4 linked regions of the Callithrix jacchus genome follow. The protein of the gene in region 1 purifies or fractionates together with the protein of each later gene. This does not show direct contact. Links are inferred from orthologs where the notes say so. Each region holds a gene or a part of one and is shown in the gene's direction. Other genes may lie near its edges.

The links.
Region 2: the proteins of DCAF6 (region 1) and CUL4B purify together in Homo sapiens (affinity purification with mass spectrometry; 6 studies listed by BioGRID and IntAct, with this or other methods). This does not show direct contact. The link is inferred for Callithrix jacchus from reciprocal best matches to the Homo sapiens genes DCAF6 and CUL4B.
Region 3: the proteins of DCAF6 (region 1) and TNNC2 purify together in Homo sapiens (affinity purification with mass spectrometry; 3 studies listed by BioGRID and IntAct, with this or other methods). This does not show direct contact. The link is inferred for Callithrix jacchus from reciprocal best matches to the Homo sapiens genes DCAF6 and TNNC2.
Region 4: the proteins of DCAF6 (region 1) and CUL4A purify together in Homo sapiens (affinity purification with mass spectrometry; 8 studies listed by BioGRID and IntAct, with this or other methods). This does not show direct contact. The link is inferred for Callithrix jacchus from reciprocal best matches to the Homo sapiens genes DCAF6 and CUL4A.

The regions. Positions count from the first base shown.
Region 1 is NC_133519.1:34,286,272-34,293,410, reverse strand, and holds part of DCAF6 (DDB1- and CUL4-associated factor 6), read left to right. Parts: intron 1-1,598; coding exon 1,599-1,692; intron 1,693-3,011; coding exon 3,012-3,131; intron 3,132-3,674; coding exon 3,675-3,935; intron 3,936-7,139. UniProt on the Homo sapiens protein: Ligand-dependent coactivator of nuclear receptors. Enhance transcriptional activity of the nuclear receptors NR3C1 and AR. May function as a substrate receptor for CUL4-DDB1 E3 ubiquitin-protein ligase complex.
Region 2 is NC_133524.1:116,474,502-116,482,382, reverse strand, and holds the start of CUL4B (cullin-4B), read left to right. Parts: upstream 1-2,731; 5' UTR 2,732-2,810; exon of another isoform or gene 2,811-3,396; coding exon of another isoform or gene 3,397-3,581; exon of another isoform or gene 3,582-3,620; intron 3,621-7,881. Other genes in the region: MCTS1 (malignant T-cell-amplified sequence 1), read right to left, coding at 632-729, 1,247-1,399, 3,397-3,581.
Region 3 is NC_133506.1:41,063,722-41,071,475, reverse strand, and holds TNNC2 (troponin C, skeletal muscle), read left to right. Parts: upstream 1-2,825; 5' UTR 2,826-2,889; coding exon 2,890-2,892; intron 2,893-5,264; coding exon 5,265-5,316; intron 5,317-5,428; coding exon 5,429-5,572; intron 5,573-5,660; coding exon 5,661-5,775; intron 5,776-5,935; coding exon 5,936-6,072; intron 6,073-6,955; coding exon 6,956-6,987; 3' UTR 6,988-7,121; downstream 7,122-7,754. UniProt on the Homo sapiens protein: Troponin is the central regulatory protein of striated muscle contraction. Tn consists of three components: Tn-I which is the inhibitor of actomyosin ATPase, Tn-T which contains the binding site for tropomyosin and Tn-C.
Region 4 is NC_133502.1:28,697,372-28,704,510, forward strand, and holds part of CUL4A (cullin-4A), read left to right. Parts: intron 1-2,532; coding exon 2,533-2,725; intron 2,726-3,989; coding exon 3,990-4,094; intron 4,095-4,304; coding exon 4,305-4,415; intron 4,416-4,506; coding exon 4,507-4,592; intron 4,593-5,686; coding exon 5,687-5,794; intron 5,795-7,139. UniProt on the Homo sapiens protein: Core component of multiple cullin-RING-based E3 ubiquitin-protein ligase complexes which mediate the ubiquitination of target proteins. As a scaffold protein may contribute to catalysis through positioning of the substrate and the ubiquitin-conjugating enzyme.

The DNA.
Region 1 (7,139 bases):
TATAGTTTGTTTCTGGGATGATGAAAACAGTCTGGAATTATATAATGATGATGGTTGTACCACTTTGTGAATATACACTACTGAATTGTATAATTTAAAATTATGAATATTATGTTATGTGAATTATATTTCAATACCAAAATGTTTAAAATGGACTAGATGTGGTGGCTCATGCCTGTAATCCCAACATTTTGGGAGGCCGAGGTGGGAGGATTGCTTGCGACCCATGAGTTCAAGACCAACCAGGACAACATAGCTAGACTCCATCTCTAAAAAAAAAAAAAATTAAAAGCTTAGCTGGATTAGGTGGCACATGGACCAACTACTCAACAAGCTGACACTAGAGATCATAGTAGCTCTGGAGTTCGAGGTTGCAGTGAGCTAGGAAGGGACCACTGCAATCCAGCCTGGACAAGAGAGTGAGACCCTGCCTGAGGAAAAAAAAAAGTTAAAAATGTAAACATTAAAGGGAATGATCAAGAGTGGTAGGTACCATAAACATTTCAGATAAGCTCTGAAAGATGCCATTTGAGTTGGCAATTATTGTTGATCATATTATTGAGCATTTTTATAATTGATCAGTGAACTTAGTAATTGATCATTCACTGGTGACTGATGGGAATGAAGTTAGTGGAAAGATGGGAAATCAGTGGAAAGATGGACTACAGTGGATTGAAGGAGGAGTGTTAGATTGCATATAGAATTTTCTCAAGAAGCTTGAGTAAAGTGATAGCAAGAGAAAGGATTGTAGCTGGAAAAATGGGTTTTATGAAGTTGAAATATTGTTTTGTTTCTTAAAAGTGATAAGAACCTTTAGCATGTTGGGACAGAGAACCAGGAGAGAGAAATGGATATGGATGTAGAAAAGACAGAATAATTGGCCAAACAAGATACTCGAGGAGTTGAAGGAATGAAAAGAAAAAAGCACAGATGGAGAAATTAGGCTTAAATAGAATAAATAATACATCCTTCAAGAAAGGTTGGAAGGAGTTAGAAGTTCTAGATGTAGATTTAGTTTATAGAATTCAGCTAAAAAAATGATGTCATTTTCATTTTCTCTGAAGTAGGATGAAAAATTGTTAGAGGGCAAGAATGAGAGCAGCATAAAGGAATAGATAACTTGAGGCAAGTCATAAAGGGTTGGAATGGATTGTGTTTGGGAACTGAAGAGTAAATTCTCAATAATAAGTAAAAATAATGATGACTCCCATTGTTTGTTAGGTATGTGGGTAATTTACCTAGGCTATATTTATCATCACAATAGAAAACTAAGGCTCAAGATGGTTAAAAATATCTTCCTTTTGTCAGTTGGAAGGTGATACAGGTGAGATTAGAAATTACATACACATGATTTCAAAGTTGCATTGAGACTCTTTGGATTGAAGATATTAGATAGAGGCTGTCAACATCAGTGGATATATATCCTCAGAACGAGTGCTTCAAAAGACTGATGTGGCTTATACCAGTGCCTTTTATATTTTCATCTAGATCTAATTTGCATACTCAAGAAAGTAGTGAGATAGAAATAAATAGACATTAAGAGTTGAGAATAGATGAGTTTTAGACTTACATAGAATTTGCCTGTTCTTTTCTTTTAGTTACGACAACCACCAGTTAAGCGTTTGAGACTTCGTGGTGATTGGTCAGATACTGGACCCAGAGCAAGGCCTGAGAGCGAACGAGAACGAGATGGTAACTGTACTTTGGTCAGCTTTTCTTTGTATGTGGTATTTTAAAATTAATATTTTAACTTCTGGTTTTAATATTAAAACTGATAAATAATATTAATAAAATTAATATTTTGACTTCACTATTTTAAGTGATGCTGTAATGAACATTCTTATACATATATGTTAGTATACTTATGTAAATATATCTTAGGATAAATTCTTAGAAGTGGAATGGCTGAGTCACTGGATAAGTACCTTTTAATTTTGATAGTTATCAAATTACTCTCCAAAAAAGAGGTGCTAATTTACATTCCCACTGAAAGTATAACAATGCCCATTGCCCCATAGTACATTGGGTGTTGTCAGACTTCTCAATTTTTGCCTTTCTATTAGATATCAAGAGAAATGAAAACTCCACCTGAGAGTTTTATAATAGCACATAAAATGTTCAAGTGCCTTTGATAAGCATAAGAAACTACCCTGGGACCTTTAAGGTAGCACACTTGAAAATAGAATTAATCTATGAATTATAATTCTATAGAATTATATTTTATTAAATTGGTCTGTAACCAAAATCTTACTATAATGACTTCTGAAATGTCTTTTATGATCAAAAGCATATTCCCCAGTATATGAGCTACATTATATAAAGGCAGTAAAGTGTAAAAGAAACTCTGATTTTACAGAAAATGTCAGAATGATTTTCATTTTAAATTATAAGACTGTAGAATAGAGTTGTCACATTTTAAATTTGGCATTGTATTTGAAAATGCCCTTAGAAAAACTTGTTTATTTGAAAGAGGAAAATGAGTGAAGGAGAAGACGAAATACTTTCTGGTTCCAGCTAATTTTAAATATCTAGAATTTGCTTATAGTAAATGATGATGAAAACGAGTTTAAGGAAACTTCATGCAAAAATATAAGGCTATTTTGTTTCTGTACTTGATTATAATGCCTTAGAGAGAGGGAAAATCTTTCTTTTAATCTATTAAACTTAGAATTCATGAGCCCTTCTTGGCTGGGCACTCTTAAAACTAAAAATATAGGTTGAGGTAGGAGGTGGGAGGTTTAGAGGTACCTAAGAATAGACAAAGATGAAGGGGAGATGAGCCCTGTTCTCAAGGAACTTTACCATACAGATGGAGTGTCACTCATATAAACAATTACTGTAACATGTGATGAAAGCGCTAATAGATTTATATACATTCATACAATTTATTTAGGAAATTTGATTTTTTAAAAAAATGCTTTCATTTTAAAGCCCTTCAAATCTAGGTTTTTATATTAATGAAAGATTCTGACTTATTATTAAATTCACTGATAAGACCTATATTGTAATAGGAGAGCAGAGTCCCAATGTGTCATTGATGCAGAGAATGTCTGATATGTTATCAAGATGGTTCGAAGAAGCAAGTGAGGTTGCACAAAGCAATAGAGGACGAGGAAGATCTCGACCCAGAGGTAAGTCTTCATATTAATTAAAGTCATCAGAAAGCTGGCAAAAACTACTTACTGAAGCCAGTTTTACTTATATCATCTAAATTACACCGTGTTTTACATCTGTAGTAATCACAAGATTCTTACTGTATTGTTTGAAGTAGTAGAGAATAAAAGGTATTGGATATAATTTGTTCCTCCTCTTGCCACTAGACCTAGTGTGTATCTTTTGCTTTTCTCAAAAGTAAAAGAATCTGAGATTGCCCATTTTAAGCCTTTTTTTAATGTGCTCCGAGAATGGAAATATGATAAAATTCTGTGTATAAATAAGTTTTATGTAATTGGAAAGATTGATTGTTTTAGCAAGAATATGTTGTAGATAAATTTTTACCCCTTTTGATTGGCCTATTTTGTCAAATGAGCCAAATCACCAGTGGTTATTATTACTGAAATTATATATATGTTTGTGTGTGCAAATAGAAATGTGTTTTCTGAACACGTCTGTTTAGAGTTGTTGGTTTTAGAAAATATTTAAAATGTGAATTTGTATTAACATGTATTTTGAAGGTGGAACAAGTCAATCAGATATTTCAACTCTTCCTACGGTCCCATCAAGTCCTGATTTGGAAGTGAGTGAAACGGCAATGGAAGTAGATACTCCAGCTGAACAATTTCTTCAACCTTCTACATCCTCTACAGTGTCAGCTCAGGCTCATTCGACATCATCTCCCACAGAAAGCCCTCATTCTACTTCTTTGCTATCTTCTCCAGATAGTGAACAAAGGCAGTCTGCTGAGGCATCTGGACACCACACACATCATCAGTCTGGTGAGGATATTCCTCTCTAAGTATGCTGTGGTTCATCTAATGATTTTTGATAGTGAAAACTTTACTGGCTGTTTTGAAAGATACTAAATCACATCAACTTCTTGTTGGAATAAATGATCAAAATGACGTGTAGTGTATGGATATGTAACTTAAACACAAAAATTAAGTGTGTCTTACTTGCATGAATTTTAACAAATAGCAGGAATCTTCAATTTATATAAAACAATTCTTTTAAAAGTGCAGGTACCAAAAGATAGTGTTTTGGCATAGTTTAATGCACCTGACTTAAATATGATTTTATAGATCCCTATAGACCAAAATATCTTTCTAGATGTATTTGGTTTTATGTCTCTATTAAAGTGATTGTGAAAATATCAATATTAGTTTCATTTTGCTTATATTCTTGATTCTTTTCCCTCAAATAATGCAGTACCTTTAGTATACACTCTATGGTTGATTTGATAATGGTCTTTTGTCAACAACATATAATTTACCAAAAGAATTATTTCTCCAGTATTTACCTGAAAAAGAATTATTTTACCAAATGCATATCTTCTTGGTACTTGATGCTAGTGGAAAAAACCTCTGCATTCTGTTAAAATACTATTTTCTTCTCAGTATTTTAAGTCCTCATGGTCAACTTTTCCCCCCTAACTATGGAATGTATTAGTATTTATAATAGTAATTTTTGACAAATGAATCTACAGTTTACTCAGTACTTTATATACATGTAATTATAAAAACCAATAAGATATTTATTTATAGTTTTCTTTGGTTTTTCTAAGGAAGAATTTTACTCAATATAGAGCCAGAATTATTAGCAGCTAGAAATATAGCTGGCAGGCCTAAGCTGAAACCCATAAAAAAATTTCTAACAGCTTAGCTGCCAAGCTGTCACTTTATTCTTACATCTCTGGCAACTGATGCCAGATTACCAAATATGGGATGTTTTAATTTAAGCACTCTTTTATCAGTATATACCGCTTTTAGTAATTCATTTTCAGTTTCTATGGGAATAAAAGCCAGAGTCAGTTATATAACTGTTAACACTGTGTACATTTTATCCATCATAATAAGCTAAAGCTGAGTTACAGAATCGAGGTTTTCACACTGTTGACATAGCATTTTAATTTATGAGAAAATAAAATATTTTGGAAGATTTGGGAATTTAGGGCAGAAGTAGTTAAAAGTTTGTTTTTCAGAACAGGTAAAATTGGGAAAAGCAAGAATTTTTAAAGTGATAGCATTTTTGGAAATATTGTTGAACATTTTGATCAATTATAAGTTTTTAGGAAAACTTAGCAAGACTCTAGCTTACATTCAGGTTCGACTGAATCTTAACAATTCTAGTTGTTTCTTAAACATGTTTATGAGTAAACTATTTGGAACTTTATTTTTTAAAGCTATTTAATGCATTTTAATACTGTATTTCAAATTGCTAAATTTCTTTCAGTAATTAATGTAAGTATTAAATGTGACAAGTCATTTGAATTATTGAAGAGAAAAAGTATTTTTGGTGATCATGTGATGACTGTTGAAACATTACTCAGTACTTTTACTCATAAATTATTTATAGAAAGTAAGGAAATATTTTTAACTAGGAGATTATTGAGAGAATTTTGGTAGAGTAAGGTATAGATAATTAGAATGTTTCCATGTTACCAAGGTAGTTATCACTACTGAGAAAAATGATTTGATGTTAGACTTAACATCTAAAGGTTATGTCTGTAATTGTTCTGATAAGAGCTTTTTCATTATTTTGGAGTTCAGCATTTCAGCAGTAAGCTGAAATGTTTTTGTTTTTGTTTTTTCTCCAATCTCTTTTGCACTTGCCATAGCCGAAGTACAAATGTGTTTGTGAATATTGGGAATTGTCCATTGGGTGAATAGAGTATATGGGAATGTCAGCTTATGACCATGATTTCTATTATTTCACTGCATAGAGACAAATGATAAAGTATGCTTCTGTCTATACTTGCCTTGCTGCGGATACCTTTTTATTTAAATATTTATGCCTTTCTTTTACATGTCCTCCGTCATTCTTACTGGTATCAAAGAAAGGGACAATGGGAATATGAAAATTTGCTAGGCTCCATCTCTGGTTGAACCTACTTGTCTGCCTTCTCTTAGTCTACAGTGGAATCCCTGAAGGATAGAGAAGAAAATTATGACCACAAATTTCAATGGGTGCTCAACACTGCATCAGAGCAGTCCTTTTCAACACTGATGTTCTCCAGCTGTACAAAATGATTATTTTATGCCTTCATGTCTCTCAAACTTAACACTCCCCTTTATTCCTTCCCCACTTCCAGCTTCTAACCTTTCATTCATAGTGAAAAGAAAAGCACTTATTTTCCTGCTATCAATAATTTCCCAGAGTTCCAACATCTGTACTCACATTGTGATAGAAGCAGAAGCACATTTAGGGATGTGTCTGCTCCTATTAAAAGCTAGCCAATGTAGTTGCCATCCCTTTCCAGCTTCTCAATGTCTTTGCCCCTGCTTGTGCATTACCATTACCTTTTTTTTTTTTTTCCCCTGAGTTGTTTCTTTTGGCCTTAACATGCTTTTATTATCTTCTTACTTTAAAAATTTTCTCTTAATTATCTCACATTCTCCTTCAGCTATTGCCTTATTTCTCTACTGCTTTCATAATGAGTCCTCAGAAGAGTTGTTCATATATGCTATCTCCATTTTCTTGCCATCCTTCATTTATTTATTAACCAAGCCCAATCTGCTTTTCAACTCCCTTTTCCTCTAATACTTTTAATCAAAAAGTCACCAGTGACATTTACCAGTTTAGAGGATATTTCTCTGTTAGTACCTTACTAGATTTTTCAGCCTGGTTGCTTTTAACATAAGCTGTCACTCCTTTCTTGAAACACTTTCTTTTCTTGGCATCTAGGTTATCATATTTGCCTATTGACTCTTATTTTGGTGGGTTTTCAGTAACTGTTGTTCATGTTTCTTGTTCTATGTCCTTCTGAATATTATAATTGAACCCCTTAGTTCTGGCTCTCTTCTCTTCTCTATATACACTCTTTCTCTGGGTGATTGTGTCAGTTCCCTACAGCATTTAATATCTCCTGTAAATTGATGACTCACAAATATATATCAACAATCTGATCTACCCCAAGTTCCAGCCTCTTGTGTCTGACTGCTGTTTTGATACTATTTTTTTGTTATTGTTGTACTTTTTTTTTT
Region 2 (7,881 bases), on another chromosome or scaffold:
CTATGTAACAGCCCAATTTTTAAAATTATATGCATTTACACATATCACAGAAAGTAACTAACTGGATGGAAGGACATTTAGCCAATGCTTTCCCATATATAGACTTTTCTCTATTGGGCAAATAGATATAAATATAAAAGACGAAAATGCTCACAATGTTTATCACAGTTTGTAAATACATGTTTGTATAATTACCTAATTGTTGTTTATTCTCCAAACTAGACTATTAGTTTCATTAGGACAGAGACAATGTCTTTGCTTCCCATTGTATTCTCAGCACCTAGTGAGTGCCTAGCACACAATAAGTTCAATAAATATATGTTGAATGAATGAATGAATGAATGCTCTTTCTTGGGCTTTCTGGAATGCATGAGCATTTTTCAGATTTACCACAAGATGGGCATTCATTTTAGTTTTACATCCCTTATTACCTAGTACTAATAAATAATGAGTTAACTATCAGAAGCCACTTTAAACTCTTTTTGTGTCTTTCAGTATCCCCAAATGCATATTTCTGTTTTTTCCCTGCAGTGGGGTCTCATCTGATTAAATGCATATTTCTTACAAGACTTTACATTTGAATTATGCAGTAAGAGTAAATAGTTCAAAAAATAAAAATAAAGAAACTTACATTTGTGAAGTAACCTTAGGGTTGGATAAAAAGGCCCTTCTCTTTGTCTAAAAAATAGTAATTCTCCATTTACAGTAAGGATTTCTATATGTTCATGGCTGTAAGACAAATGTCACAAAGAACCAAGTTAGATATTTTTCAAAAATTCACAACATAAAAATGCATATATAGTGATAAAGTAAACTTTAAAAGAAGTCAGTAAAAATCCTGGCCAAAAAATATTGTTTACATTGTTTTTCCTATCATACAAGTACAGTAGAGAAGAAAAATATGACCTGCTACAACCAATTTTATTTCACATTTTATTATTTTAATTCCATTGTTAGATAATTCAATAAAACAATTCTCTAAAGAACAAACTGAAATAAATTAAATCCAACTCTGAATTAAAACATTTAACTCTTTAATAAAACAATACACAAAGCCACATTTTTTTCAGGGACATAGAAAATCTATGAAAATACAAATATTGGAGTTTTGGAGTTATTCTGTGTCTATCCCCATTATCAATCTATCAATAGTTAATCTGAAAATAATTCCATTTAGTATGAGTGCAATCTAATCATTGAACATTCAGCTACTCCAAGCTTTACACAGACAAAAACAAAGACTTACCATCGGACTATTTTGACAGGATCTTTCTTAGGCATGATCTGATTAAGCCATGGTTCAATACCTGGAAATTGCTCTATCAACTGATTCTTAATACCCTTAATAACTGAGGTTTTCAACTGGATGCAGTTGGACACATTTTCTTTTTCATCAAATCTGCCAAGTAATTTTTGCAAGAAAAGAAAAAGGGATTTCTAAGTAGAGGTATCATAATACCTAAAGGTATTGTTCTGATTAGTATTCCCAAGCAAGTATTTAGATACTTAAAATAATTATGAAATAAGTTGTTTTTTTAAAAAAAAATACCACCTCCCTTTTACTCTGTCCAGCACAAAACTAATGTCTTAATACAATATTGAAATTAACTGTCAAGTATACAGCAATTAGCTGGGGTTGGGGAGAGGAATATAAGACACACTTTGCACCATAATCTCTAATTAGCTACACAAATGCCTTTCCTGGAAAATCTTATTCAATTCTACCCAGGAAAAACACGGGCTCCCACCAATAATAAAACCTGTGATCAAAAAACAAAACCCTCAATTGATACAAAAGACCAACCCAAGCATAACATAGAAAATCGGCCCCTGCTAGGCTATGCAGTCTGCTGAGACTTTTTTTAAAGTGATGATTTATAAGATCCCTATTTATTTTTGCTCAAAATTTCATGCAAAAAACCCACCTTCCTTTGCCCATGTTCCCCCTTTGCTTTTTGCGTCTACCAAACCTGGAAGGCAAACCCACTAGTAGGTTCCCAAGGAATTTTTGTCTTCCTTACACTGAATAGCTTATGGGGCAATCACGTTATTTTCAAGGCAAGGTTAATCTGGCAGCTAGGCAATAGGCATGACAGGCCGCTTGCTTCCTGTCACCCAGACTCCTTCACTCCCATGACCCAGGAAGTCAAGCCTTCCTTTATTCAGTTCATAACTAATAAACATATGGCAGTGAGCGCAGGGCTCCCCTCTCAGCTAAAGAGGATATGCCCCTAAATCACAGTGCACGGATGTGATTGGTAGAACCCTAGGAATGGAGACGGAATCGGGGGAGGGGGCAAAAGAGAAAGAGGGATAAGGAGAAAAAACAATGGGAGTGAAGGGAACGAAACCCGATTGAGGACTACGGATGGAAAGCTTAAAGAAGTGTTCAAGTTGCGAGTTAGAGCATAGTACTATAGAAAACCTTAGGGAGTCAGGATGGCAGGGGCGGGGGAGAGAGAAAGCGGATCTTAGCTCTCGCCCTCTTCCCCACCCCCACCCCACCGCCTTTGTGAGCAGCCGATGGAGGCCACAGCATGTCCTTACTTCTTGAACATGATCCAACGTGAAGGGGGCGACGATAGGGAAGGGCCCGGAATGGGAACGAAATTGAATTTGCAAGGGTCCGGCAGATCCCTTTACACGAGGAAGGCCGGCACTGACAGTCGGAGGTGTAGTCGTTATCCGGAAAACGAGAGCCAGCCGCGCTTTACGGCTCTCAGTCAAATCTGACTACTTCCGCTCCTCTGGCCTCCACGTAGGCGCTTTTGCCGGCTCCTTTTAAGCAACCGGTTCCTCTGCAGTTGGAGGTAGCTGAAAGGGCGGGACTTGAGAGGGAAGAAGTGATAGAACAATTGCAGGAAAAGAAGAATGGAGGGGGCGGGGAAATCAATCAAAGTAGCATTTAAGGCACTTGCGTCTGTTACGGGTTCCTCAAAGGGTCAAGTTTCTTCCGTGCTTCGTTGCTACCTACCGTCACACTAAAAGATTCTTTTTTTAGGGAGAATGGCTTTTGTTCCGTCTGAGGCAACTGAATGGATTGGTGCTTACCTACCAGCATGAATCCAGACAAACCTCATAGCTTCATGTTAAAGTGCTGGTAGGATTGCCAGGTTTGACAAATGAAAATATAGGATGCCTACTTAATTTGAATTTCAGGTAAACAATGAATACTTGTTTTAGTGTAAGTATACCTCAACAATATTTTGGACATACTTACACTAAAAATATACAGTCCTCGTTTAGCTGAATTTAATTGCGCGTCCTGTTTTTTATCTGGTAACCCTTATTCACTGGCAACCATACGATGCCCCCATAGTTTTTTGTGGGTTTTTATTGAGACAGGGCCTCACTCTGCTGCCCAGGCTTGAATGCAGTGGTGCTGTCTTGGCTTACTGCAGTCTTGACTTCCTGGGCTCAAGGGATCCTTCCACTTCAGCCTCCCAAATACCGTGGACTACAGGCACACGCCACCATGCCCGTTTTTTGTTTTTTATTTTTATTTTTTGGTAGAGACAGGGTCTACGTTGACCAGGCTGGTTGCAAACTCCTGGGCTCAAGCAATCCTCCTGACTTGGCATCCCAAAGTGCTGGGGTTACAGGCGTCAATGACTGCCCTCCTGTAGAATAATTCCCAAAGAATTATTACAGAAGGTAATCTGATTAAAGAGATAAATAACTAAAGATACATGTTTTACTTATGTAATTTTTTAAAAAGAAAGCTGATAGAGAATATTTTGCCAGTCAAGGATTTTACTTTGTTTTTGGTTTTAGACACAGCATCTTACTACTCGACCCAACCTGGAGTGCAGTGGCATGATCATGTTTCATTGTAGCCACAACTTCCCAGTCTCAAGTGACCCTCCAGCCTCGGCCTCCCGAGTACAGGCATGCACCACCACAGGGCTGGTGGGAAGAACCCCTTATAAAACTACCCGATCTCGTAAGCACTCACTCACTATCATAAGAACAGCATACGGAAAACCACTTCCACCATCCAATCACCTCCCACCAAGTCTCTCCCCAGATATGTGGGGATTATGGGGATTACAATTCAAGATGAGATTTGGGTGGGAAAAAAATCCAAACCATAAAAGTCACCCTATTGCCCTATTGCACTGTCAAATAGAAGATCTCTTTTTTTTTTGAGACAGAGTTTCACTCTTGTTACCCAGGCTGGAGTGCAATGGCGCGATCTCGGCTCACAGAAACCTATGCCTCCTGGGTTCAGGCAATTCTGCCTCGGCCTCCTGAGTAGCTGGGATTACAGGCACGCGCCACCACGCCCGGCTAATTTTTTGTATTTTTAGTAGAGACGGGGTTTCACCATGTTGACCAGGATGGTCTCGATCTCTTGACCTAGTGATCCACCCTCCTCGGCCTCCCAAAGTGCTGGGATTACAGGCTTGAGCCACTGCGCCCAGCCCTAGAAGATCTTACTCATTCTATTTTTTTGTACCCATTACCCAACCCCACTTCTACTACCCAATCCCCCACTATCCTTCCCAGCATCTGGTAACCTTCTATTCTCTGTGTCCATGAGTTCAATTGTTCTGATATTTATATCCCACAAATAAGTAAGGACATGTGATGTTACTCTTTCAGGGCCTGCGTTATTTCACTTAACATAGTGATCTCCAGTTCCATCCATATTATTGCAAATGACAGGATCTCATTTTTTTTTTTTTTTGGCCAAATAGTACTCCATTGTGTATATGTACCACAGTTTCTTTATTCAAACATCTGTTGATGGATACTTAGGTTACTTCCAAATCTTAGCTGTTGTAAACGCTGCTGCAAGAAACGTAGGTGTGCAGATATCTCTCTGATAAACTCATTTCCTTTCTTTTGGGTATATACCCAGCAGTAGGATTGCTGGATCATATGGTAGCTCAATTTTAGTTTTCTGAGGAACCTCGAAACTGTGCTCCATAGTGGTTATACTAATTTACTTTCTCACCAACAGTGTACAAGTATTCCCTTTTGTCCACATCCTCACCAACATTTGTTATTGCCTGTCTTTTGGATATAAGTCATTTTAACTGGGGTGAGATGATATCTTGTAGTTTTAATTTGAATTTCTCTGATGATCAGTGATGCTAAGTACCTTTTCATATGCCTATTTGCCATTCGTGTCTTCTTTTGAGAAATGTCTATTCAAATATTTTGTCAATTTCTTGATCATATTATTATATTTTTGCCTATAGAGTTGTTTGAACTCCTTATGTATATATTCTGATTATTATTCCCTGGTCAGAGGGGTAGTTTGCAAATATTTTCTCCCATTCCGTGGGTTGTCTCTTCCCTTCGGTGATTGTATCCTTTGCTGTGCAGAAGCTTTTTAACTTTATGCAATCAAGTTTGCCCATGTTTGCTTTGGTTGTCTGTACTTGTTGGATATTGCTCAAGAAGTCATTGCCCAGACCAATGTCATGGAAGTTTTCCTCAATGTTTTCTTGCAGTAGTTTCACAGTTTGAGGTCTTCGATTTAAATCTTTAATCCATTTTATTTATTTATTTATTCTTTTTCTTTTTTCTTTTTAAAGATGGGATTTCACCATGTTGGTCAGGCTGGTCTCGAATTTCTGACCTCTAGTGATCCGCCCACCTTGGCCTCCCAAAGTGCTGAGATTACAGGTGTGAGCCACCACGCCTGGCCCTAATCCATTTTAAATTGACTTTTTTATACATCAAGAGATAGGGGTTTGGTTTCATTCTTTTGCATATGGATATGAAGTTTTCCCAGCACCATTTATTGAAGATACTATATTTCCCCACTATGTGTTCTTGGCAACTTTGTCAAAAAATGAGTTTGCTATAGGTGTGTGAATTTATTTCTGGGTTCTCTATTCTCTTCCATTGGTCTGTGTCTGTTTTTATGCCAGTACCGTGTTGTTTTCATTACTATAACTATGGAGTATAATCTGAAGTCGGGTAATGTGATTCCTCAAGTTTTGTTCTTTTGGCTTAGGATTAACTCTGGCTATTCTGGGTCTTTCGTGGTTACATATAAATTTTAGGATGGCCTTTTCTGTTTCTGTGAAGAATGTCATTGGTATTTTAATAGAGATTGCATTGAATCTGCTAATTGCTTTGGGTAGTATGGACATTTTAACAATATTGATTCTTCTGCTGGGCGTGGTGGCTCATGCCTGTAATCCCAGCATTTCGGGAGGCCAAGGCAGGTGGATCACGAGGTCAGGAGTTCGAGACCAGCCTGACCAACATGGTGAAACCCCTTCTCTACTAAATATACAAAAATTAGCAGGGCCTGGTGGTGCACACCTGTAATCCTAGCTACTCAAGAGGCTGAGGCAGGTGAATCACTTGAATCCAGGAGGCGGAGGTTGCAGTGAGCTCAGATTGTGCCACTGCACTCCAGCCTGGGTAACAGAAAGTCTGTCTCAAAAAAAAAAAAAGTTAAAAAAATAAAAATAAAAAAACAGTATTAGGCCAGGCGTGGTGGCCCATGCCTGTAATCCCAGCACTTTGGGAGGCTGAGGTGAGTGGATCACCTGAGGTCGGGAGTTTGAGACCAGACTGACCAACATGGTGAAACCCTGTCTTTAAAAAAAACATTTTTTTAAAATATTGATTCTTCCAATCCATGAACATGGAATCTTTTTCCATTTTTTTGGTGTCCTCTTCAATTTCTTCAGTGTATTTTACTTTTCTTTTCTTTTTTTTTTTTTTTTGAGATGGAATCTCACTTTGTCACCAAGGCTGGAGTGCAGTGGCATGATCTCAGCTCACTGCCACCTCCGTCTTCCAGGTTCAAGCAATTCTCCTGCCTCAGCTTCCTGAGTAGCTAAGATTACTTACAGGTGTGTGCCACCACACCTGGCTAATTTCTTTGTATTTTTAGTAGAGATGGGGTTTTACCACGTTGGCCAGGCTGGTCTCAAACTCCTGACCTTGTGATCTGCCTGCCTCAGACTCCCAAGGTGCTGGGATTACAGGTATGAGCCACTGCGCCTGGCCAGTGTATTTTACTTTTCATTATAGAGACATTTCACTTCTTTTGGTTAATTCCTAGGTATTTAATTTTATATGTAGCTCTTGTAAATGGGATTATTTTTTAAATTTCTTTTTCAGATTGTTCACCGTTGGTATATAGAAATGCCACTAATTTTTGTATGTTAATTTTGTATCCTACAATTCTAATAACTTTATCAGGTCTAATAGTTTTCTCTTCGAGTCTAGTTTATTCTAAATATAAGATCATATCATCAGCAAACGATGGTAATTTAACTGTTTCCTTTCCAAATTGGATGCCCTTTGTATCTTTCTCTTGTCTGATTGCTCTAGCCAGGACTTCCAAAATAACAATGATGATGGTGGGCATCCCTGTCATGTTTCAGATCTTAGAGGAAAGGCTTTCAGTTTTTCCCCATTCAGTATAATACTAGATGTAGGTCTATAATACATGGCTTTTATGTTAAGGTATGTTTTTTCTATCCCCTGATTTTGAGAGTTTTTATCATGAATAAATTTTGAATTTTATCAAGTGCTTTTTCAGCATCAACTGAAATAAAAGGTTTTTATTTCAAACTGAAACTGGAGATTGTTATCCTTCATTCTGTTAACAGGCTGTATCACATTGATTGATTTGTACATGTTAAGCCAACCTTGCATCCCAGGGATAAATCCCAATTGGTCATGATGAATGATCTTTTTAATGTATTGTTGAATTTAGTTTACTAGTATTTTGTTGAGATTTTTGCATCTATGTTCATCAGAGATATTGGCCTTTGTTTTTTTTTTTAATTGATGTGTCCTTGTCTGGTTTTGGTATTAGAGTAATGCCAGTCTCATAGAATGAGATTGGAAGTATTCTCTCATTCTCTGTGTTTTGGAATCGTTTATTTATTTTTGAGACAG
Region 3 (7,754 bases), on another chromosome or scaffold:
GTTCGAGACCAGCCTGGCCAACATGATGAAGGCTTGTCTCTATGAAAAATGCAAAAATTGGCTGGGCACAGTGGCTCATGCCTATAATCCCAGCACTTTGGGAGGCAAAGGCGGGTGGATCACCCGAGGTTAGGAGTTTGAGACCAGCCTGACCAACATGGAGAAACACTGTTTCTACATGAAATACAAAATTAGCTGGGCGTGGTGGTACATGCCTATAATCCCAGCTACTCGGGAGGCTGAGGCAGGAGAATCACTTGAACCTGGGAGGCAGATGTGGTGAGCTCAGATTGCACCATTGCATTCCAGCGTGGGCAACAAGAGCAAGACTTCATCTCAAAAAAAAATTAGCCAGGTGTGGTGGTATGTGTCTGTAATCCCGGCTACTCAAAAGGCTGAGGTATGAGAATCACTTGAACCCAGGAGGTGGAGGTTGCAGTGAGCCAAGATTGTGCCACTGCACTCCAGCCTGGGTGACAGAGTGAGACTCTATTTCAAAAACAAAACCCAAAAAGCAAAAATAACCAAATTGGAATTGGAATCCCATGGGTCTCACCCTTTGGCTCCCTGCCTGCCTGGGGAGGCCTTATCTAGCTTGGCATGGCCCTGCTGAACTTTCCTTGGGAATGTCTATATATAGGGGAAGCCCAGTTGCCACTGTCCATCTGTCTTCCTTGGTGTCCAGCCCCGCTTTCCTGGCCCTGGAGCCTGCTATCGGTTGTCTTGGTGCTCTTTCTGTCGACGTAGCTACTGTCCACAAGCCTTGCCTTACTCCCCAGTGCCTAGTATGCACCTCGTGGATTCTGAGGGTGGGATCCCTCTGGACTTGATCTGCCCACCCCTTTACTCCCTAGATGACCAGATTTCTTCACTGAGCTCTAGGAAGGGGCCAGCTGCCCTTTTACCACTTAAAGAACCTTCCCCTGCCAACTCGCCACCCCTAAAAGTGAATCCAAACCACCTTTCCCTGGAGAAGGTAACTTTGAAAGAAGGGTGTTTGCTTTCAATGATCATTTCTCCTCCAAATGCACATCCTCCTCTCCTCCATCCCTCCCCTCCATACACTTTTCTATCTGCACAGGTACCCAAAGGACAGTGTCCCAACTTTCCTCCAGTCGGAATTCATAATAAGAATCATTTGGGCTAGGCGTGGTGGTTCACGCCTATAATCCCAGCACTTTGGGAAGCCAAGGTGGTCAGATCAAGAGGTCAGGAGATGGAGACCATCCTGGCCAACATGGTGAAACCCCGTTTCTACTAAAATACAAAAAAATTAGCTGGGCGTGGTGGCATGCACCTGTAGTCCCAGCTATTTGGGAGGCTGAGGCAGGGGAATTGCTTGAACCCAGGAGGTGGAGGTTGCAGTGAGCCGAGATCGCACCACTGTACTCCAGCCTCGCGACAGAACGAGACTCCATCTCAAAAAATAATACGAAGAGGGCCAGGCGCGGTGGCTCACGCCTATAATCCCAGCACTTTGGGAGGCCGAGGTGGGTGGATTATGAGGTCAAGAGATCGAGACCATCCTGGTCAACAAGGTGAAACCCCGTCTCTACTTAAAATACAAAAATTAGCTGGGCATGGTGGTGCACGCCTGTAGTCCCAGCTACTTGGGAGGCTGAGGCAGGAGAATTGCTTGAACCCAGAAGGAGGAGGTTGTGATGAGCCAAGATTGTGCCATTGCACTCCAGTCTGGGTAACAACAGCAAAACTCCGTCTCAAAAAAAAAAAAAAAAAGAAGAAAAAGAAGAATCATCAACATGGGTGGGCATGGTGTCTCATGACTATAATTCTAGCAGTTTGGGAGGCCAAAGTGGAAGGATCCCTTCAGCCCAGGAGTTCGAGACCAGCATGGTCAACATGGTGAAACCTCATCTCTACAAAAAATACAAAAATAAAACAAAACAGACAACAACAAAAAACCAGGGATGGTAGTGCACCTCTAGTCACAGCTACTCGGGAGGCTGAGGTGGGAGGATCACTTGAGCCCAGGAGACTGAGGCTGCAGTGAGCTGTAACAGCACTATTGCACACTAGCCTTGGTGACAGAGCAAGTATAGACCTTTATGATTTATAAAGCTCTGCAGTCAAATGGGGATAATAATAGTTGCTATCTCATAGGAGGAGCACTAGATGAGATCATGTTAAAATACTTAGCACAGTGTATGGCACGTCATGGAGGTTCAGTAAACAGTGGCCTAGCTGTCACTTTCTCCTCCTTCTATCCCCTACCCCTCACCATGGTTCAAAGACAGGACATTCCTCTTGCCAAGCACTAACCCTGTATACCTGGCCTAAGCTAGGTGACTTATACCTGGGTTCCCATTTACCGTGGTTTCTCTGTGAGGGAGACTGCACAGAGAGGTCCATCCTACAGACGAGGAAATGACTCAGAGAGGCATTTCGACCTGCCCAAGGTCACACAGCTCACAGAGGCCGGCCTTGAATGTTGGGTTTTGGACTTCAAGGCTTGTACTCTCCTCATTTTACTGTGCTGCCTCACTCTTTACTACTCTGATTGTCCTTACCATCTTGGAGCCAGTGTGCTTCCCTGGTGAGAGGGGGAGAGCAGGGGGACTCCAAGGCGGTGGAACAGGGCGGGCCTTCCTCACAAGAATCTGGGACGTCAAGGCCTGCCACCTGCTCGGAGGCTTAAATTTCTCTGCAAGGGCCCTTGGCTAAATTAGGTAATGGGTTCAGACCTTTGGTGGGGTGGGGCTCACTGACACCAGGATCTGATTGGGTAGGGCATCCAGTGCTGGGGAGCAGGGAGGTGGGAGGGGAGGGTGCCCCTACAAATCCCAGGGGCTAGAGCAGGCCAGGGCATCTTTGGGTGGTGGAGTGCAAAGGAGGTGACCTGCAGCAGAGGAGACCCGGTCACCAGCAACCATGGTAAGGACAAGAAGGGATTGCGGCTTCACTCACGGGAACACTCTGGACATCTTTGAGGCCAGGCATGGGTGCTCTGTGGGGCAGTAACTTGGATGTGTGAGGTTGGAGCATGGAGGTTCCTGGAACCCAGGTGTCTTGGAGGAAGGCCTTTGACTTTTCTTGGAAGGGGAGGGCTGGGGTGTTCCAGAGATTGATGGTCAAGGCTTGCTGACTGCCTATGCACCTTTGGAAACTTCCAGCACTGTCATTCATAGACCTGTGAAGAGCTCTTAGCTATGTTTCTTTCACATAGTGGGGACCCTGAGGGGTCAGAGTGAGTTACCCAGCAAGCCAGTGGCAGGGGTGAGCCAGACTCCTGGCCAAACCCTCCTACCATCATGGAGAGAAGAAAGGCTCCTCCAGAAGATGAGAGGCCTGCAGGGCGTGGGGCCCACTCAGATACAGGGGCTCCGGGACCCCTGAGGACGATGGGAAGAGACAGAAGATGACAGACCAGAATTAGAGAAACCCTGCTCTCCTAGAGGGGGTTCTGAGTTGGTGCTGTGGTTTTCGTCTGAGAATCCCCTCCTCACTTCACCTCAAGGAGTAACTAGATCCCAGAGGCCAGCTGCTGTTGCCCATGCCTGACTAAAAATAGCCTGCCCTCCTGGCACAGGGAAAGAAGAAGAGAGTAAGGAGGGGGAGAAGGAGGAGGGCCAGCGGCCAGCCGGCTGAAGAGCTCCTTGGAAGCCTCACCCCATCCTTACTGCCAGCTTCAGCCCAAAGCCTCCGACCCAGATGGTCTGGCTTGGATATGACCTGGAAGCCCCCACAGAAATCTCACTTTCATGTCAAGGCCCCCCTCACATTCTGCCCAATATGAGAGGCCTTTTCTCCAATGACTGAATCCTAAGAAGGAAGCTGATCTGCGACTCCGCCAGTTCTCTGAGGGGCAGGAGGATGTATCCTCGGTCTCTTCTTGGTGGTCCCAGTGCCTGATCTGTGGCCTGACATGCAGCAAGTGCTCAATAACTTTGTGTCCTTTTTTTTTTTTTTTTTGAGTTGAAGTCTCACACTATCGACAGGGCTGGAGTGCAATGGCGTGCTCTCAGCTCATTGCAACCTCTGACTCCCAGGTTCAAGTGATTCTCCAGCCTCAGCCTCCTGAGTAGTTGGGATTACAGGTGCCCGCCACCACGTTCGGCTAATTCTGTGTAATTTTAGTAGAGACGGGGTTTCACTATGTTGGCCAGGCTGGTCTCAAACTCCTGACCTCCTGATCCACCTGCCTCAGCCTCCCAAAGTGCTGGGATTACAGGGTGAGCCATTGTGCGCGGCTTGTGTTGCATTATTATTTATCTGAGAACAAACATTTTATTGAGCAACTATTAAAGTACTGAGCACCATTAGGAGCTAGAGAAAACTGGAAAATACTGCTGGAATGGTGCTAGCCTTTTACAAAGCCCTTTCACACCCCTGATATCTCATCCCTGAAAAGCTACAGAGAAGAGATGAAGGCACACTAAGTGACTTGCCTAAGGTCACTGGGGGGATTCCTGACTTGGCCTTCAATTGACAAGTGAGAAGGCCTTGGGCTTAATTTGCTGTCTCCTCTCTTTTTCTCAAAACTAGTGCCAGGCTGAGCACGGTGGCTCTCAGCACTTTGGGAAGCTGAGGTGAGCAAATCACCTGAGGTCAGGAGTTCGAGACCATCCTGACCAACATGGTGAAACCCCGCCTCTACTAAAAATACAAAAATCAGCTGGGCATGATGGCACACACCTGTAATCCCAGCTACTTAGGAGGCTGAGGCAGGAGAATTGCTTGACCCTGGCAGGTAGAGGTTTCAGTGAGCCGAGATCCTGCCATTGCACTCCAGCCTGGGTGACAGGGTGAGACTCTGTCTCAAGCAAACAAAAACAAAAAACGGGGGTCAGCAGCTGGACACAGTGGCTCAAGCCTGTAATCCCAGCACTTTGAGAGGCTGAGGCGGGAGGATCACTTGAGCCCAGGAGTTCTAAGCCAGTCTGGGCAATATAGTCAGACCCCATCTCTACCAAAAATTTAAAAAATTAGCCAGGCATGGTGTACACTAGTCCCAGATACTTAGGAGGCTGAGGCAGGAGGATCACTTGAGACCAGGAGGTCAAAGCTGCAGTGAGTTGTGATCATACTACATATCCAACCTGTGTGACAGAGCGAGACCTTGTCTTCTGAATAAAACAAAACTGATTGGGTGCTGTGGGGGCACACAAATATGTGACGAGTTTGAAGTTGTTCTTCTGGAGGACCAAGGGGCGCTGGCAGAGTGGGGGTTGGGGTGAATGGGGTAGAGGTGAGGTGCTGCTCTAGGGTTACCTCTTCAGCTGACTTTTTCTCTGTGTCTCCTGCAGACTGACCAGCAGGCTGAGGCCCGGTCCTACCTCAGCGAGGAGATGATCGCTGGTGAGTGAGGCCGGCAGGCTGGGAAGCAGTTGGCCTCCCGGCAGGGTTGGGGGGTAGGTGTGAGGCTGACAGTCCAGCGATCCTCACCTCTGCCCTCTGCTCTCCCTCGCAGAGTTCAAGGCTGCCTTTGACATGTTTGATGCTGATGGTGGTGGGGACATCAGCGTCAAGGAGTTGGGCACCGTGATGAGGATGCTGGGCCAGACACCCACCAAGGAGGAGCTGGACGCCATCATCGAGGAGGTGGATGAGGACGGTGAGCGGCTGGCCCTCGGAGGCAGGGGATGGTGGGGAGAGGCAGCGGCGGCCGGGCTCAGGCTCAGTCCACCACCTGCTCCCCGCAGGCAGCGGCACCATTGACTTCGAGGAGTTCTTGGTCATGATGGTGCGCCAGATGAAAGAGGATGCAAAGGGGAAGAGTGAGGAGGAGCTGGCCGAGTGCTTCCGCATCTTCGACAGGTGTGCTGGAGGCCTGGGAGCCAAGGGAGGGGCCGAGCAGTCAGAGCCCGACCGGTGGCGCCGGAAGGTTCCCGGGTTGGGGGTGTGGGGACGGGGTGTCGAGCGTAACCAGGGCAACTCGCCCCGGTCCTGAGCCCTCCCCTATCCCTCGGACTCGAAGGAACGCAGACGGCTACATCGACGCGGAGGAGCTGGCTGAGATTTTCAGGGCCTCTGGAGAGCATGTGACGGACGAAGAGATCGAATCTCTGATGAAAGACGGGGACAAGAACAACGATGGCCGCATTGACTTCGATGGTGAGGGCCGCGGCAGCTTGGGAGAGAGGGTGGGAGCCACAGGGGCAGCGGGTACTGGTGCCACTGGCTCCCGTGCGCTGTCGCTGGCCTTGTGGGCGGGGCTGGGCGTCACCTCACCAAGTTCCTCCTAAGTGTTGGTATAGAAGTGCTCCACGACTCCGTGCAGTTTATCAGTTAACGACCAGGCAGCAGGGCGCGATGGCTCAGGCCTGTAAAATCCTAGCGCGTTGGGAGGACGAGCCGGGAGGATTACTTGAGGACAGGAGTTTGAGACAAGCCTGGGCAACATAGTGAGACCCTGTCTTTACAAAAATAAAATAAAAAGCCAGGGGTCTCCTGTGATCCCAGTTGCTCCAGGGGCTGAGGTGAGAGGATCACTTGAGCCCAGGAGGTCCAGGCTGCAGTGATTGTGCCACTGCACTCTAGGCTGGGCGACAGGCCTTGGTGACAGACCTTGGCAACAGAGTGAGACCCTGTCTCAACAAAAACAAAAAACAAGGCCGGGTGCAGTGGCTCAGGCCTGTAATCCCAGCAGTTTCAGAGGCAGAGGTGGGTGGATCATGAGGTCAGGAGATTGAGACCATCCTGGCTAACATGGTGAAACCCCATCTCTACTAAAATACAAAAAAATAGCCGGGCCTGGTGGCATGCACCTGTAGTCTCAGCTACTCGGGAGGCTGAGGCAGGAGAATCGCTTGAACTTGGGAGGCGGAGGTTGCAGTGAGCTGAGATTTTGCCACTCCACTCCAGCCTGGGTTACACTCCAGCTAGACTCCGTCTCAAAACAAACAAAAAAGTCATCCCCTCTGAATGACTGGAGCCCTGGCCTGACCTTTGCATCCCCAGGTGGGACCTGTGACCCGCTCCCTCTCCTTTCCCGCAGAGTTCCTGAAGATGATGGAGGGTGTGCAATAAGGAGTGGACAGTCACCTCTACCAAGATCACGCATCCCTAAGGCCTGGGAGACTCCGCTCCACCGGGTCCCCACCAGGGAAGTGCAGCCCCTCATGGGTCTTTTTCTGGAAGGAATAAAAGCAAATGTTCCAAAATTTGCCTGAATGAGGGAAGAACCCCAGAGACAGCAGGTCTCAAGGGCTGTGGTCCAGGGCGCCATCCCGGCTGGCACCACCCGGAGCACCCTCGGGGATCCCCGGGAGAAGCTGTCTAAGCAGTGGGATGTGGAAGGGAGCTGGGTCCCAGAGCCCGAGGCGGTGGCTGTGAGTGCCCAAGTGTAGGCATCACCAACGCGTTCTGAGGGTTCTCAGCAGCCTCCCGACAGCTGGCGTGGGCGTGGGCAACTTGGAGGACCGGCGGCGGTGGTGGCTGGGTGGTGGTGGACAGGAGTCTGCAGGTGCTTGGAGTTGAGTCAGGGTGAGCTGGCGGACTTCGGAGGGGTCCCCAGAGGGCAGGTAGGGTAAGGGGGTGGCAGGAGGCTACCCCCACCAGAGGGGAGGAGCAGGGGAGCTCCCTCACTTCCCCACGTCCATCTTTTCTGGAATATTTTGGTCTTGGGTGTTGTAGCTGCCACCTTCTGCAGGCTCCCTAGCTGGGGAGTTGGGGAGTGGGTGCTCATCCATGCCAGGCAGCATTGTTTCTGCTTGACCTCCTACTTCCTCTGTTCTTCCAAGTGCTTACTCCTGGCTTCCTGCTGGTGGTGGTGGGGGAGAGGGGAGGTATCCACA
Region 4 (7,139 bases), on another chromosome or scaffold:
GCCGGGGGCCTAGCATGAGTTTTCCAGCTTAAATGGTGAACATTCAGCAGGTACCTGTGTTTTTGCTTGTTGGTGACTATTCTTAGGTCCTATAATTAAAAGATAAAATTTTCAGAGAATTACGCTGAGAAAAATAAAAAGCCAATCCTAGGTACTTAACATACTATTAATATATTATTCCATAACATTTTGGAAATGTCAAAGTTCAGAAGTGGAGGACAGAGGAAAAGTTACCAGGGGGTAGGGACGGGGTGGGATGTATGGTTAGAAGAGGCCCCAGGAGGTAGCCTTCTGGGGGAATGGTTGGGATTTTGGCTGAGGTCATAGATGTGCACACCGAGATGAGTTACAAGTAAACTGGGCCATTTGAAAAAGTCTAGGGGTTAATGTGTTCGTATCCCAGTTGCTGCTCTGTAGTTTTGCAGACTGTTGCCATTAGAAGAAACTATGGAAACGAAGGTACTGGGATTGCTCTGCTATTTTTACCATAATGCAAGTCTTTCATTATCTCAATAAAGATTTCTATTAAATAAAAAAGCCAAATGAAGGCTTACATGCTGCTTTATGGAATAATCAGATCTGAAGTCATGTATCAGTCCAGCTTGGAAAGCCAGTACACACACAGCACCACTCCTGACAAGGTCTCGTAGAGTGCTATTGAACTGGAAGTTATAACTGAGTCACATTAAATCAGCCTTAAAGCTACTGAAAATTTAGGATTTTGCCAGTGAGACAGTCTTCAGGGGATAGGAATACATCTAAGTACGAGGAAAGGTTCACCTTTGCAGTTTTTAGTCTGGGTAATAAAAACCAGTGCATGGTGGCTGGCGCGGTGGCTCACACCTGTGATCCCAGCACTTTGGGAGGCTGAGGCAGGTGAATCACAAGGTCAGGAGATTGATACCATCCTGGCTAACACAGTGAAACCCATCTCTACTAAAAATACAAAAAATTAACGGAACGTGGTGGTGGGTGCCTGTAGTCCCAGAGACTTGGGAGGCTAAGGCAGGAGAAGCATTTGAACACGGGAGGCAGAGGTTGCATGGCGCCAACATCGCGCCAGTTCACTCCAGCCTAGGCAACAGAGCGAGACTCTGTCTCAAAAAAAAAAAAATCAGTAAGTGACCATCACTCCTCAGTGTCAGCAATAAGCAGCTCTGCTGTAACAAAATAGTAGTTTACATGCGACTCCACACATGCCGCCATCAAAATAAAGCTGGGCCTTATAGTGTTTGAGATGTTGAGTAAGAAGTGAGTCCCTCCACACCTGTGAGCCACATACTGCCCTCTCCAGGAGGATCTGTGCCCTTTCTGTTGGCATCCTTCCACCAGCCAGCTGTCTCACCTGTGTGTGACATGAGTGCCTCTGTGCATTCTATTGAGACAAGTTTTTTTTATATTCAGTAATTATATTCAGCTCCTCTTCAGCATGTATAGTTTATGTCATCAAATAGTTAACTGTTTATTAGCACCACACACAGACTTTTAGGAATGTTTAATACAGCATTTTTAAATTAAAAATACAAACTAGTCTGGGCGCGGTGGCTCACACCTGTAATTTCAGCACTTTGGGAGGTTGAGGTGGGTGGATCATGAGGTCAAGAGATCGAGACCATCCTGGCCAACATGGTGAAACCCTCTCTAATGAAAATACAAAAATTAGCTGGGCATGGTGGTGTGCACCTGTACTCCCAGCTACTCAGCAGACTGAGGCAGGAGAACTGCTTTAACCCAGGAGGCAGAGGTCCCAGTGAGCCGAGATCGCACCACTGCCCTCCAGCCTGGCGACAGAGGAGACTGTGTCTCAAAAAAAATACAAACTAGAAATAGCTTTTCATGGTTAGAAGTGATGGAGAAAGAAAACTGTAGCTAAGAAATCCCAGCAGATGTATTGAATTAGTAAGAATTAACTTGTCTTTGAGGAACTTATGCATAAACATTCTTTAAGAAGCAGTGGACATTCTCCCAGTCATTTGTAAGTTATCTCGAAAAAGAATTGTAAGAGCAAGGCATTATTGTATATCTAACTGTATATTGACACCAAGCACAGGGGCTCATCCCTATAAACCCAGCACTTTGAGAAACCAAGGCGGGAGGATTGCTTGAGGCCCAGAGTTTGAGACCAGCCTAGGCAATGTGGCAAGACCCTGTCTCTACAAAACTTTTAAAAAGATCAGCCAGATGTGGTGGCCTGAGCCTGTGGCACCAGCTTCTCGCAAGGCTGAGGTGGCAGGATGGCTTGAGCTTGGGAGGTCAAGGCTGCAGTGAGCCGTGATTGCACCACCCCCCCACACTCCAGCTGGGCCACAGAGTGAGGCCCTGCCCCATTTAAAAAAAAAAAAAAAAAAATCAAAAAAAATATATTCACTTAATTTTTGAAATATGAACTCAATTTGTGAAACTTTTAAAGTTACTGGGTATTTACTCTTAAGAGTAGTTTATATTGAACTATCCTGACTGTGTGATAGCAGGAGGAAATACTGTTTGGTGTTATAAGCATGTTGCTGAGTGGGTATTGATCTGCTTTTGTAGACTTTCGGGACAGCGATCGTCATCAATCCTGAGAAAGATAAAGACATGGTCCAAGACCTGCTGGACTTCAAGGACAAGGTGGACCATGTGATAGAGGTCTGCTTCCAGAAGAATGAGCGGTTCGTCAACCTTATGAAGGAGTCGTTTGAGACGTTCATCAACAAGAGACCCAACAAGCCTGCAGAACTGATTGGTAGGAAAATCTGGGTTTTTTTTTGAGACAGTCTCACCCATTTCTAGACGGTTTTTTTAATGTGGGAAAATAAGGCAAAACTCAACCAAATTTTTTTCCACAATGTTCAACCTGCTCCTGGGGTGTGTGGAAAGTGTTTTTATCAAGGTCTTATTAGGGCATACATTTTAAAAAGGGGGCACACCTGCATTCATGGGTGGAGGAGGGCATTTCCAGAAGGGAAGATGAGGTAGGAAATCTTTAGAAAAGAAATGATGCTTGACTTCACCAAAGAAGGAAGGGGTGATCCACCATCTTTGTATCCTCTGATCAGTATTAAAATAGGATATAATCAGGTGAGATCTCAAATGATAGCATATTTGAAATACTGTTTTTAAGTTGTACAGTGTTTTCACAATAATACCAAAATAATTTCAGAATTCATAGGCTTTCTGTAGTCAGTAAAAATTTTTTTAATTTGAAGGAGAAAGGGGGCAAAGAGAACTGTAATACGATGATGCTAGATTGACGTTGATTACGCTGAAGGTGCATGAAGCATGGAGCTCATTGTGCAGTTGTCTACTTTTCTGTGTGTTCAGAATATTCCATTGTAAAATGTTCAAAAGAAAAGAACTATAAAAGCAGCAACAGAAAGAATTGAGGAGGCAGTTTACCTTGGCTTTTGTGCCTCTGTTTCAGCTTTGGTTTCTCTCAAAAGGAGTGTTGAGCTTTTGGGAGTTTGGGCTTCTGGAAATCTTGAGTTCTATCACATGGGACGTAGGCCCTCCCTCCCGAGCCACCTCACAGATGGCTTGTGCAGCCTCAGAAACAGGAAGCCTGAGTAGAAATGCTTCTACCCTGCGTTGCCACCTTGGATACCCTGAGAAAGTCTTTTTCTTTGAGAATGTCTCCTCTGAGTTTATGACACCAGATCCCAGGAATGGGCACTCCTGCGTTTGGGGCAGCCATGTGTCCTGGAACCTGAGCATGTGATCACTGAACCCATTTTATTTTGAAATTCAGAGATTACATTTAGAGGTAAGACAGATAGTTCAACCTGCTTTAAACATTCAGTCCCTGGCTTTGTTAAAATTTTGGGAAGTATTTGCTCTCACATGACTTAAGAGTATTTATCTTAGAAAATTGGATATTTGCTTTTTCGTCATATAGTAATATCATTTTGGAAAGGTTCCAGAATGTTACTGTACAGTATTGCTTATAGAAATTAAAGATGCTATGTGTTTATATGTTTTTATGTAGTATTCCTATATGTTTATGCTCACAGCAAAGCATGTGGATTCAAAGTTAAGAGCAGGCAACAAAGAAGCCACAGACGAGGAGCTGGAGCGGACGTTGGACAAGATCATGATCCTGTTCAGGTTCATCCACGGTGAGATTTGGGCACTCAGAAAATGCTGCTTGATCTAGAGGTGTAAACACAGGCTCTGCTTTCTCAGAGCAGGTTCAACATGAGAATGGCGGTGTCAGTAGAGCCAGTTTGCATTAGAATGGACACTTCTAAGGGTTTTCAGCAGTTGAAGACTGACATTTGCTTATCCACGCTCTGATGCCTTGATTCTTCTCATCTGGTTATAAATAGGTAAAGATGTCTTTGAAGCATTTTATAAAAAAGATTTGGCAAAAAGACTTCTGGTTGGGAAAAGTGCCTCAGTGGACGCTGAGAAGTCTATGTTGTCAAAGCTCAAGCATGGTAAGCGTGCGGGGCCTGGGCTCCTCCCCTGCAGCTGAGGGGTGCTGCCCGCGTGCTGCCCCAGTCTCACTGCCTCCTTTGCTGTGTCCAGAGTGTGGTGCAGCCTTCACGAGCAAGCTAGAAGGCATGTTCAAGGACATGGAGCTTTCAAAGGACATCATGGTTCATTTCAAGCAGGTGAGTTGTGTTTCTTCAAGTAAAGCAGCAGATGCTTTAAAAAAGTATCTGCTGAGTGTGGTGGCTCATGCCTGTAATCCCAGCACTTTGGGAGGCTGGGGCAGGAGGCTTTCTTGAGGCCAGAAGTTCAAAACCAGCCTGATCAACATAGCAAGACCCTGTCTTTACAAAAGAAAAAAATTTTAAATGAGCAGGTAGGGTGGCACATGCTTGTAGTCCCAGCTACTAGAGTGGGGCTGAAGTGGGAAGATCACTTGAGCCCAGCGGTTTGAGGCTGCAGTGAGCCATGACTGCACCACTGCACTCCAGCCTGGGCATGAAAGTGAGACCTTGTTACAGATGTATGGATAGATAGCTAACTACGTAGATACATAGATAACATAGACACATAGATATATAGAAGACAGAGAGAGCAATACCTTGGCACAGATAGAGAATTAAGGTAGGTAGATTCAATGGATTAGATAGAATGAATGAATCTCATTCTAAACTATGTAAGAAAAAAATTGGCCAGGCGCGGTGGCTCAAGCCTGAAACCCGAGCACTTTGGGAGGCCGAGGCGGGTGGATCACGAGGTCAAGAGATCGAGACCATCCTGGTCAACATGGTGAGACCCTGTCTCTACTCAAAATACAAAAAATTAGCTGGGCATGGTGGCGCGCGCCTGTAATCCCAGCTACTCGGGAGGCTGAGGCAGGAGAATTGCCTGAACCCAAGAGGCAGAGGTTGCAGTGAACTGAGATTGTGCCATTGCACTCCAGCCTGGGTAACAAGAGCGAAACTCCGTCTCAAAAAAAGAAAAAAGAAAAAAATTACACTATTCTTGTTTCACAAGTAAATTTTAAAAGGAGAAGAAAAAGAAGCTCTAAACCTGTGGCAAGAATTTGATTTCTGTGAGTCTGGTGGTAACACCTGAAGAAGGGGAAAAGGCAGTTCCAGTGAGGCTTTGGATTTCACGGAGTATGTTCTTAAGACTGAGATAAATACTAACACAGATGAAACTTTGTTTGAAAAATTACAATTTATTTTGTTATAAGTTAATTGTTTCATGACTTTCTCAAATGATTATTTGTCTTGGATTTCTCTGTTTTTAGCATATGCAGAATCAGAGTGACTCAGGCCCTATAGACCTCACAGTGAACATACTCACGATGGGCTATTGGCCGACATACACGCCCATGGAAGTGCACTTAACCCCGGAAGTAAGTGTGCAGACAGCGTGCTGTCCGCTCCCACGGTCGTGCCCTTTCCAGGCAGATACATTGCCTTCAAGAATTGTTTAATGGGGAGTTTTTTAAAATAGCCCACTCAGTCCAAAATCAAACTGCTCTTATGGTCTTTGGAAAGCAGCATTAGAAAATGACCGCTTTTGTCACCCTCCGTGGCTTCTCCCAATGCAGCCTGTGTCCACCTGCTGACCTGCAGGGGCCCAGGAGTGCAGGCACTTGTTTGGAAGTGATGGCTGATTGAGCTGTGGTTGTCCGGTTGCTCTTTCTTTCCGTTGTAGACGTTGCTGACATCTTGGGAATGGCAGTGTTTAGCGTCTTTTTGTCAGCCACTGCTTTAGCCGCACTAAACTCTTTAGTGGAGGGTCTGCACATCGGAGGTAGAATTCTGTGCCCAGTGAAGTTAAAATCAGCAGGAGACACATTACGTGCACCATTCATTATAATACTGGGCAAAGAGAAAGGGCTGAAACCAGTCTGGGATCATCAAAGACGTCCTGGAAAAGGCATCCCTTAAGCCTGATCTCAACCAAAGGTGAATGATCATTTTCTCAGCTGAGAGGGGAAGAAAAACTTACAGCGACAGTGGTCGCATAATGTCATTCCTTTTCTCACCCATCATAAGGGTCATGGCCAGTGCTCCTTTAACAAAAGACAAATTAGGAGGAGAAAACCATAACAAATTTATTTTATCAGAGTCTTACTTAACACAGCAGGCTTCAGAAATGAAACCAAAGAACCAGGGCAGCTTAGGTTTGATCAAGAATGGGCAGCCATGTAGAAATAGGTGTGTTAGTCTGTTTTGCATTGCTCTCAAGGAGTACCTTAGGTGGGGTAATTTGTGAAGAAAAGAGGTTTCACTGGCTCACGTTTCTGCAGGCTCTACAAGCATGGCACCCATGTCTGCTAAACTTCTGATGAGATCTCAGGAAGCTTTTACTGAAAGTTGAAGGCAAAGGGAGAGTAAGCGGCAGAGAGGGTGCACGAACGAGGCAGTGGGAAAGCGCCCAGACTCCTAAACAATCAAATCTGGTATCTCTCATTACCTCAGGGAAGGCACCAAGTCATTAATGAGGGATCCACCCCATGACGCAAACACCTCCCACCTCCAACACTGGGGATCACATTTCAGTGTGAGATTTAGAGGGGACACACCCAAAATCTATCAGTGTGACTAGACACAAGGGTGCCATCTAACAGTAATAGAGCAGTGGGAATCCAGTAGGCCTGTCTGTTCAGATTCTTCTTGGCCTCTCTGGGCAGTGTTCTTTCCTCCCAGGTGTCGGGCAGGACTTAACTGTCAGCAAGGCAGGTCAGAGAA